Linked DNA regions of Drosophila melanogaster. The protein of the gene in region 1 purifies or fractionates together with the protein of each later gene. This does not show direct contact. Each region holds a gene or a part of one and is shown on either strand. Other genes may lie near its edges. The genes, in order: Mec2, CG13220 and Arl8.

Evidence for each region.
Region 2: the proteins of Mec2 (region 1) and CG13220 purify together in Drosophila melanogaster (affinity purification with mass spectrometry, with the first as the bait; one large-scale study listed by BioGRID). This does not show direct contact.
Region 3: the proteins of Mec2 (region 1) and Arl8 purify together in Drosophila melanogaster (affinity purification with mass spectrometry, with the first as the bait; one large-scale study listed by BioGRID). This does not show direct contact.

Annotation. Positions count from the first base shown.
Region 1 is NC_004354.4:19,185,879-19,189,634, forward strand, and holds the start of Mec2 (Mec2), read left to right. Parts: upstream 1-2,156; 5' UTR 2,157-2,236; coding exon 2,237-2,405; intron 2,406-3,155; coding exon 3,156-3,669; intron 3,670-3,756. Other genes in the region: CG33253 (uncharacterized protein), read left to right, coding at 1-328, 400-565, 656-895.
Region 2 is NT_033778.4:11,282,221-11,285,692, forward strand, and holds CG13220 (uncharacterized protein), read left to right. Parts: upstream 1-2,062; 5' UTR 2,063-2,277; coding exon 2,278-2,739; 3' UTR 2,740-2,878; downstream 2,879-3,472. Other genes in the region: CG9062 (uncharacterized protein), read right to left, coding at 1-48, 109-1,103, 1,166-1,385, 1,464-1,505.
Region 3 is NT_033777.3:8,124,841-8,128,596, reverse strand, and holds the start of Arl8 (ADP ribosylation factor-like 8), read right to left. Parts: upstream 1,993-3,756; 5' UTR 1,878-1,992; coding exon 1,755-1,877; intron 557-1,754; coding exon 402-556; intron 336-401; coding exon 174-335; intron 108-173; coding exon 1-107. Other genes in the region: CG9667 (uncharacterized protein), read left to right, coding at 2,282-2,284, 2,346-2,368, 2,432-2,592, 2,654-3,285; CG7878 (uncharacterized protein), read right to left, coding at 3,459-3,756. UniProt on the Drosophila melanogaster protein: Required for normal functioning of the late endocytic pathway including lysosome motility and late endosome-lysosome fusion. Not required for the delivery of lysosomal membrane protein-containing vesicles to late endosomes.

The DNA.
Region 1 (3,756 bases):
TGCCCTGCGTGGACGACTACTATCCGGTGGATCTGCGCACCGTCTCCTTTGACGTGCCGCCGCAGGAGGTGCTCTCCAAGGACTCGGTTACTGTGACGGTAGATGCGGTTGTCTACTACCGCATCAGCGATCCCCTCAAGGCGGTCATCCAGGTGTACAATTACAGCCATTCGACGAGTCTCCTGGCGGCCACCACGCTGCGCAATGTGCTCGGCACCAGGAATCTGTCCGAGCTGCTGACCGAACGCGAGACCATCTCGCACACCATGCAGATGTCCCTGGACGAGGCCACCGATCCCTGGGGCGTTAAGGTGGAGCGCGTGGAGATGTGAGTAGCCAACTGCCGAAAGTCGTGATGTGATCATGACATGATCCACTCTATCCATGATCCGCTTGCAGCAAGGACGTATCCTTGCCAACTGCCCTCCAGCGGGCGATGGCCGCCGAGGCGGAGGCAGCGAGGGAGGCGCGGGCCAAGGTCATTGCCGCCGAGGGCGAGATGAAGTCGTCGAGGGCTCTGCGCGAGGCTTCCGAGATCATCTCGGCCAGTCCATCCGCCCTGCAGGTGAGTCATCTTCTTCCATCTGAATCCAACCATCGGACATTTGGAACTGGCCCAAATGGTTTCATTCGTTCCATCTTCTTCTCTACTTAGTTGCGATACTTGCAAACACTGAGCAGCATTTCAACCGAGAAGAATTCGACCATCATCTTCCCGCTGCCCATGGAGCTGCTCACGCCCTTCCTGAATACCCAAGCACACTCGCAGCAGCTGCAACTGCAACACCAGCAGCAGCTGCAACAGCAACAGCAGCAGCATCAGCACCAACAACAACAACATCCTGCGGCTCCTGGCACGCCACTCCATCGACACCCGCACCAACACCACCAGTGACGCTCGATGTCGGTGCTGCAACCATATCTGGAGGCACTGCATCGCTGCGAGCTGCAGCGTCAGCAGAAGCAACAGCGAAGCGGAGCGGCTGCAGCGGGAGCGGCGGATGACGATGACGACATCGTGGGTTTCTTGCTCTAGTGGAACGGCGGCAGCAGCGACAGAAAGCGGAACTGTCCGGAAAATCCGGAAAATGAGTCACCAATGAATTCGAATGAAAGTGCCATGGAATTCCCTAGATTCTGGAGAGATTCAAACATGGTTCGGACTTAAAAATAAATTTTTTTTTTTTAGAATTTATTCTAATATGTCGAATTTAGTATGCAATAGTAACTGAGGCTTTTCCAAGGCTTTTCCTTCTTCATTCACAGTCGTTTTAAGTAGAGACGTTATATTTAAAATAACCAATATTATTTGTTTGTATCTTAAGAATTAATAACAATAGCTAACTACAAACCAGGGTAAAAGCTAACCATTTAAATAAACCAAATGATTCAGAAAACACATTTTTTTTTTCAGTTCTTCCCCCTTTTTCGAAACAACAAAATTTACATTTATATATGATATATATATATGTATGTACATATTTGCTCTTCGCTTATCTAAATAACTCAGATTTGCATGCCACTTCAGCGAGTGTGGCAGATAAGCTCTTCAGTGCTAATGTGACCGCCAGATCAGAATTGAGTCACCATCGGGTGGCTCCAGCCAATGACCCGTGACCCCAAAGCAGAACTGCGTCTCAATGCTCCAGCTGAGATAACCGATTGATTAAAGTGCTAAACGCACTTGGGCCAGATAGAGCTTACTCGGCTTTCATTGATCGTCGGTCGGAATAATCTGAAAGTGTACGCCTCCAGTTGGCAATTCTTTCGGCGCAGTGCAGTGAATCATCCGTGGTGACCCATGGCTCTCGACTTACAGAGCGGCTCTTGGTGTTTCCCCGGTCGTAGATACACTACACTGAACGAAAATTTACGAGCCGATGCATTTACATTCCATTCCATTACATTCTCTTATATGGCATGTGCTCAATTGCTGTGGAGGATGTACGGACTAGAGATCGCCTCTTTCAGTGGCGGCACACTTGGTTCGTGGTGTTTCAGTGCAGTGCTTCTTTTCTCTCACTGTTGAATCGCATTTAAGCCGCTCGGCAGCTCAGCGTAGCGATAATGCCAATGCGATACTTCGTATCTGAGAGAACCAGTGCGCTCTTATCACGTGAGAACGCTTTTGGGCATTCAGTTTGGCTTTTGCGGCGCTGACCGCTGGCGACAGTTTCGAATCCATAGCCGATCGGAGAGCAACGAACGTAGGCCAGAACGGAGCAGAGAAACAGCAATGGAGCCGCACCAGGATTCGCCCGTGTACGCCAACTACGAAGATATGCGCAACTCTGGGCCGGCCAGCTCCACGGCGTACATGGTCAACATGGGCGCCGCCGGCATGGCACCCGAGCCGGCACTTCGAGTGCCCGGCACCACGCAGCAGTATCGTGGATTCAAAACTTGTAAGCGGGCGGAAACGGTGTATACTATAGATGCAGCAAGATGATGACCCATCCCGGCCAATATTAGGAGAATTATTATTGTTAAAAAAAAACAAGTCTTTGCTTACTGTCAAGCGCTAATCACTTTAGATCGATTGAGATACGATTTCTTGGAATCGCTGGTTCAGATAAGATTGCAACAGCATTTTGATCGCGTGAAAAGTTTGTTTTTGGCTCAAAGCATTCTACAATATTTCAGACATGCAAAACCGCTTGATTCGGTTAATAGTATTCACTAGATAGGAGTTCTAAAAATACAAACTATCTCTCGCTTTATCAAAGTAGTACTAGTAGCAATTTGATTTCCATCGTAATCCCACATAATCGTCAATTGCTACAACATTCTAATTGTATTGGCGCATATATATTACACCTGTCTATATTTTTAATCGTAGGAATTTTTATTGGACTCCAAGATAAGCGGGCTGATTGGTGTTTATCCGTGTTTTCTTTTTTTTGATTGTGATGGCTATTGCTTTTCACAGCTTTCTCTTTTTCAAGTTGTTACATAGTCCATCATAGTCCTGTTTTACTTAATAATAAGTTGGTCTCTTCGGAATCCGGACAAAGAAGGTACTTCATCTTGGCCATCGAATTGAAGTGGACTTATCTACGTTTCTCTTGCGGCACAATTATTGTACACATATGCCTGAAATATGGCCATTTTGTAGATGAATATTTCATATTCATATTCCTAACATCCCATTGCAGCGGAGAACGAGCCCAAGGGCTGCATGGAATGGGTGGTCACCCTGTTCTCCGTGCTGATCTTCATCATCACATCGCCCATCGCCATCTTCATATGCTTCAAGGTGGTGGCGGAGTACGAGCGGGCGATCATCTTCCGGCTGGGCAGACTGAGCGGCGGAGCTCGTGGTCCCGGCATGTTCTTCATCCTGCCGTGCATCGATGAGTACCGCAAGGTGGACCTGCGCACGGTTACCTTCAATGTGCCGCAGCAGGAGATGCTGACGAAGGATTCCGTGACGGTCACTGTGGACGCCGTTGTCTACTATCGCATCAGTGATCCCCTTTATGCGGTCATCCAGGTCGAGGACTACAGCATGTCCACTCGCCTCCTGGCGGCCACCACGCTCCGAAATATCGTCGGCACTCGCAACCTGTCCGAACTGCTAACCGAGCGCGAAACCCTGGCCCACAATATGCAGGCCACGTTGGACGAGGCCACCGAGCCGTGGGGCGTCATGGTGGAGCGCGTTGAGATGTAAGTAGCCATTTAGTAGGCATTTGACATCCATCAGATCAGATCAGTATTTCTTAACATCTGTACGTTGTATGCACTTCACCCGCT
Region 2 (3,472 bases), on another chromosome or scaffold:
AGCGGAAAAGCAATCCACTTCCTCCTGACCCAATACAATCGTTGGCATCTGCAAAGCATAATTAAGTATAAACGAACTTAAGCTTCAATAGAGCTTAGCTTAACTCACCCCGGTTTTCAGATCAACAGTGAACCAGTTTGGAATGTAGACCTGCTTATTACGCTTCTTCACCTCCGCTTCGAAATCAACAGCGCCCAATTGCTCTTTTTTGACAACTCTCAGCACATCGTACACCACGACCTGATCTTGTGAGTCCTTGGTTATGATATAACGTTTGTCGTTCAGCACCGCGCACTCCTTGATGGCGGCTCCACCTTTTATGCAGGCCACCTCAGTGCCGCCCTGTGTCCATTGTGCGTCCATTCCGCCCGAGGAATTTAGTGTGCACCTGTCGTACATGGGCAGCTTCCAACAGCGAATGTCCGAGTTCCAGGTGGTGGCCCACACCCCAGTCTTGTCGATGTTGTAGCCCAGACTCAGCACGGGCGCCTGCTCCTCGCACACAAGCGTTTTGTTACTAGGGTTCCGCATCTCGGTCACAATGATGTTGCGATCCCGACTGCCGGAGATGATGTACTGGAAGTTCTCGCTCATCAGCAGCGACCACACGCCCTCCTTGTGCACGTGGATGGTTTGAACACAGCGCTGTTGGCCCAGGTTCCACACCTTGATCGTGCCGTCGGAACTGCCAGACACCACCTGGTTTCCATCGGGCGACACCACCAAGCAGCGCACGTTCTCCGTATGGCCTCGCAGCTTCATTCTGCGCATACAGGTGCGGGGATCCCAGATACGCAGTATATTCTCCGTGGACCCGCTCACAATCACGGTGCCCGATGGATTCATGGCCAAGCTGTAGATTGAGTCCTTGGACCCGGTTAGACTAGAGGTGGTAACCGTGTTATTGCTCGCCGTGAGCGCGGTCAGTGTGTTCACGTCCCACAGGAAGATGGCCTTGTCCAGTCCAGCGCTGGCCACCTGTTCCCGATCCTTGGCGTAGGCCAACGCCTGCACGTAGTCGCGATGGGTCCGCAGGGTGGACATGCAGAAGCCTTTCTGGGCGTTCCACACCTTCACCGTGGTATCACAGCTGGCGCTAATAACTATGAGTGCAAAAGATTGAATGTTTGAATGAATGCCTAAACTGATCGGTGGAGCAACTCACGGTTCCTGCCATTACAGCAAAGTACTATGTCGTTGACCCAGTCGTTGTGGTGCTCCATCGATTGTATGTACTTCTCGCTGGAGTCCGTCCGTGTATTCCACACACGGATTATGGCGTCGCGACCGGCGGAGTACAACTTGCCGTTATTGGCATCCAGCTGCAGAGCGTTTACGCCATTCCGGTGCTGTTTCTCCTCGGCGTCCCGTATCACGAAGGAAACCTGGCGTCCGACGGTTTAATTGAATTAGTTTGGGCTTAGGTGTCCGCTTTCCTTCCCGTTTTCAATTGGCGCACTCACCTGCATTTTCTTACGTGCCTGACAAGTTTTGTGCGTCAACATGTCGTCCACGGATCTGCTGCACTGTGGCTCTCGGCGATATCTCTGGACTGAAGTGCTTCAGGAGCTGGCGTTGGTTGTTCTCTGCTCGCGGGGCGCGCACATTTATCGACGTTGCTTTGGGGCGGCTGATATTTACTTTTTGCAAATTGAAATTGAGGAATTTCCAGGCAACTACAAATTTTTCGCACCTATTTCGCTCTCTGTCTCTCCCCATTCGGTCCTCCCACCTCTCAGGCACTCCTCCACTCATTCTCCTGCGCCGGCTGGTGTTGCCACCTGGTTGTGCACACCGTGCCGGCTGTTCAACAGAGTTGACACTTCTTGTTCAGAAAGGTGACTCGTTCCGGAACCACTAAACTTAAAAATTCGAAAATTTTTAAAAAACCAGCCAAGAAAATAACTATAACATTTGTTTTTAATTGTACATTCAGGAAATATCGGGGCTAATGTTATGCAAATACGCAAAACGCCCACTAACATGAGCGCTCCAAGCGTTAAAGCCCTTGATAACAAGTACTCTCCCTGTCAGATATGTACATTTATATATTAGGATCTCTCAGACATTGACATATTATATTGGTCAAAACATTTACATCTTTATACACATATCTACCTAGAACCAGTGATATACCATCTGCAGAGTGTCCGCGAAGACCGACATAACTTTCACATATATCGCGACCTGGCAGCCCTATTCTTTACATAACAAGAAGAAGAAGACTCGTCGACCTCACCGGGATCCAAAAACTTAATTGCATTTTCACCGATAATAATGGCCGGGACACAGTCAAAAGACGCCTGCAGCATATGCGACAAAGTGGGCCTCAAGCCCTTCACCCGGGATAATGTGTTCAACTACTACATACCGCTGCACGGCCTGGTGAGCTACGGAGCCCTTGCGGTGAATGTTATGAACCCCCAGATCGTGCCCAAAATCCTGCCCAAGAAGGACCTGACGAACGTGTTCCTCATCTCCGCGGTGGTGGGCAGTGCCTTCTACATTTACGGCAGGCCCCACCTGAAGGACGTGAAGAACAACAAGCGAGGTGCGTACGCCCTGCTGGGCGCCACCCTATTCTCCATGGGATCCGTTCTGGCCTGGGCGCTCATCAAGTCCGCCCTGCCACAGGACAATGCACTGCTGGCGACCCTGGCGGGCTTGGGAACTGGCGCCGCCATCGTGAAGGTCGGCACTGATTACATTCAGGACGTGGATAAGCTGCAGAAGAACTAGATGATCTGATCGATACGATATAGGACTGAGGTATTCGAACCCAAAAGTGGGTTCGTACTGTAATTGCTGTCTTGGCCGTACATAGCTCGTAATGCAATATTATCTCCCGCATATTTGAATAAAATTATACTATAAACCCGACTGAGCGGTGTGTTTTGCTGTGTCAAGAGATGGATAATGCCGGGTGTAGATTGAAAATGTTTGCGTTTATTTTAAATTAAATGTACCTTTAATTGCCGTCTCTTAACTGCTAGTAATGCTTAACAATTGAATTGTTTTAATTTATGTTATGTATGTGTGGTATATGCGTTACCTTTATAAATGGTTACTTCGTTTATATAAAAACATCTAATCGGAAACGCCAATATGTACATTCTTGTCGGATTAAAACATTCTACAAATTGCCTTGGCGACTTTGAATTGACGACTACTTTATGGTAAATATATTCTTTTTGTATTGCGAATTATACACTTTAAACTTATTTTTAATTCTTGTATACATACTTTACAAACGCTCAATGGTCGGACTTAACTATCAATAAATCAGTATGTATATATATATATATACCATTATATATACTAAAAAAAATCATTGAAAATCGTTGCAACGGTTGTCTTCAAAAGGAAATGATTTTCGCGCTGCAAAAAATTCGAATCAACTTAGTTATGAATACATATTGCATTTACAAAAGGTTGCTTATTCGCACAGCATCTAATGCGGGCACCTCCAGAA
Region 3 (3,756 bases), on another chromosome or scaffold:
TTTTCGAATGTTGAATTAACCACTGCAGCGTGATGTCAATGTTGTCCTTCTCCTTGCAGGAAATACTATAACAGCAGATTTCACGGTCCTGTATGCTCGATAGATTCCTGCAATTTATTTTAAATGATTAATTTATAATTTTTAAATAGTTTTAACAATTTTAAGGCGCTCACATTCGTTCGATGAGTCCGGTTTCATCGAGAGCGCCTGGAAGATCTCGTTTATTGCCCAGCACGAGAACTGGAATGCCGGCGAGCTGCGGTTTGTCCAACAGTGAGTGCAGCTCGTTCCTCGAGGCCTCTAATTTGTCCAGATCGGCTGCGTCCACCATGTAGCTGTTGATTAATACATTACAGTGTTACTTGACTACCGATTGTTGCTTAAGTATCATTATTGCTTACACAATCGCATTAACGCCGCGACAATAGCGCTCCCACATGGATCGGAATCGAGGTTGGCCTCCGATGTCCCACACCTTGATAGTCACATTGCCTCTGGTGATCTTGCGCATGTTGAATCCAACTGTGGGTATCATGTCCTCAGCGAATTGGCCGGACTACAAGAAACAAAAATAATTAGTAAGTAATCGTGTCTTAAATAAAATACAACTTTTATATTAGCAAAGAACAAAGCCTAGAAGTATGCAATCCAAAATAATGTAAAACTCGTGTAAAAAATTGATTTTTTACACATGACAGCATCCAAAACCTTAAAAAATTTGTTATTCTTTTTGAAAATGCTCTTAAATAAATAACTATTGTAATATCTTAAAGTATTGATCAAACAATGTCTTTTGGTACTAAATTTAATTCAACATACAACACTTAAATTGATAATTGATTCTAACCCATAAATCTTTGTTCTGTATCAGCATCAATCACCTTACATATGCATTCAATAAGAGAATCGAAAGCTCCTAAAATGGCAAGATGTTACTTCTGTGACTTAGTTTAAATTAAAAAGGTATACTATAGGTTAGCAGTCGCTAGTGAAATGGGAAAAGTGACTAATTGGCGCCACCCACAAGTTTGTTTTCATTCCGAACCTGAACATTACACTAATGCACGAATCTGAATGCAAACACGGAATTGGAGTCTAATAGCAGTGATAAGCAGGGGAATATTTCCGTTTCGGGAGCACTTGAACAAACAAATTTCCCGTAGATGCGGGCAGACATTTGAATCGAATTCACATGACTCATAATAAGTCAGGCGGTCACAAAGGCAGTAGTTACTCCACCTCCCGCAACGACTGGCAAGTGTATGCAACTATCTACGAGTTCCAGTAAATGGTAACTTGAGATCGTCGCATTATCAGCGTGCAGAAATGTGTGAAAAAAACCAGGGAGGCGGTACGGGAATACGGGGTCAGGGGTTGAAGTGCTGATAATGGCGTCATTGTGCGGAGAAACATGCGTATATATGGGCTATATGTAGGTTTATTGATTACAGCGGCAGGAACGGTAAACTTTACCACTAAAAGGAAACGGTTAGCACAGCGTTAATTACGGATGCAGTGAAAGAAACTGGGAGTACGAAAAGATAAGAAATAAACAATGTTAGAGTGGGGGAATCAAGCTAAGACCAATTCCTTTGTCACTGGGGGTTTGTAATGCTTTTTAAGTAGTAGCTGATCCCCCGGCTTTCCGTGAACCCCCTCCCCACCCACACAACAGACAACCACACACAAAAAAAACCACCCTCTCACCCATACACCCACACGAATTCGCACACACCCACTGCGAAAATACTCACTGCAATAACATTGACGAACGTCGTCTTCCCGGAGAACTGCAGCCCCACTAGCGTGAGTTCCATCTCCTCTTTCCAGAAGATGCTCTTGAACCACTCGAGGATCCTGTTGATGAGGGCCAACATCCTGGGGCAGGTGTGTTTCTGGTCGGGATCTGCTTGAAATTCGCGAAAAAAGGTTTCCTTTTCCAAAGAGCGTAAATGTTGTCGTGAAAAAACAACTGGGCAGGTCAGTGTGGCCAAGTGCGCGGTAGTGTACTTAGTAGTATTCGTAGTGAATGGTAATCGTTTATTTCAGCATGTATCCAATTAAGAGAAAATAAAATTCATATGGTATATATATATTAAGTACAAATAAATAATATTATGTCTTCGGGTTTCATCGGGAATATTATTAATAAATTGCATTTAAAATATATGTGAAATCGCTACTGGACAATATTTACTGTACTTGCTATCGATAACGTGTAACCGATTTCCGTATAGTTCGCTGTGACTGGCAATTAAGGCAGAAGAAGTTAGTAAACAAAATGGTAAGATGATGTGAAAATTTTATTAATTTTAATTAAATGAATAATACATGTATATTTTCAGGCGCGCAATGCAGAGAAGGCAATGTAAGTAACCCGGATATACGTATAACATAAGATTTCCAGCACTCATCCGCTTATTTTCGACAGGACAACTTTGGCACGTTGGCGGGCCGCAAAAGAAGTGGAATCTGGTGAAAAGGAACGCCGGCCCTATTTGGCCTCCGAGTGCCACGATTTGCCCAGATGTGAGAAGTTCCGCCTGGAGATAATACGCGACATATCGAAGAAGGTGGCCCAGATACAGAATGGTACCTATTTCGGTTTATTTATTTCTCCCTAACAATATACACTAATAGCGACCACTTATAGCTGGCTTGGGAGAATTCCGGATTCGCGATCTGAACGATGAAATCAACAAGTTATTGCGTGAGAAACGGCATTGGGAAAATCAGATATCCTCATTGGGTGGCCCCCACTATAGACGCTATGGTCCCAAGATGTTCGATGCGGAGGGCCGTGAAGTTCCCGGCAATCGAGGCTACAAATACTTTGGAGCCGCCAAGGATCTGCCGGGTGTTCGCGAGCTCTTTGAACAGGATCCTCCGCCGCCACCCAGGAAATCACGCGCTGAACTAATGAAGGACATAGATGCCGAATACTACGGCTATCGAGATGACGAAGATGGTGTTCTGATCCCTCTGGAGGAACGCATCGAACGAGCGGCCATTCAGAAGGCCGTGCAGGAATGGCGGGAGAAAATGGCCAGAGATGGTCGCATAATCGATGACGAAGAGGAGGATGAAATATATCCCCTTTCGGGACCAGCACGCGAAGCCATCGAGGATGCCAAGGCTCGAGCCGCCGTGGAGGATCCTCATGGCCTATTGGCATCCAAGTTCACCGCTCACGTTCCCGTGCCGACGCAACAAGATGTACAGGAAGCACTGCTGCGCCAGCGGAAACGGGAACTGCTGGAGAAATACGCCGGTGGCACTAACTAAGCTCAATAAACATTCTAAACTCTTAGTTTGATACATTTAAATCGCGTGTTCTTTTAACACGGCATGTTTTGGGTTATGATCATCTATAATTGGAATAGATAAATAGTTAAACAATTTTTGGCAAGGCACTTCAATGCGCTCTAGTCTCTTATAACTAGAAAATGTAGAATGAATCAGTATTGAAATTGATCGAAATTTCGGCGTCCGCCGCCACGTCCGCCTCCAAAACGACCACCTCTTCCTCCAAAACCGCCACCTTCAGCAGCGCGCTTGTCCTTCATGGCTTTAAAGCGTCTAGCCATGTTGTGCAGTTCGTCGGGCACTTCCTGCTCCGCCTCCTGCAGTATCTCAATTAGTTCCTTGGCCATAGCCCAATCCTCGCGCGTAAAAAAGCTTATTGATGTGCCCTGTCGGCCAGCACGTCCGGTGCGACCAACACGGTGCACATACTCCTCGATGTTGTGCGGAAAA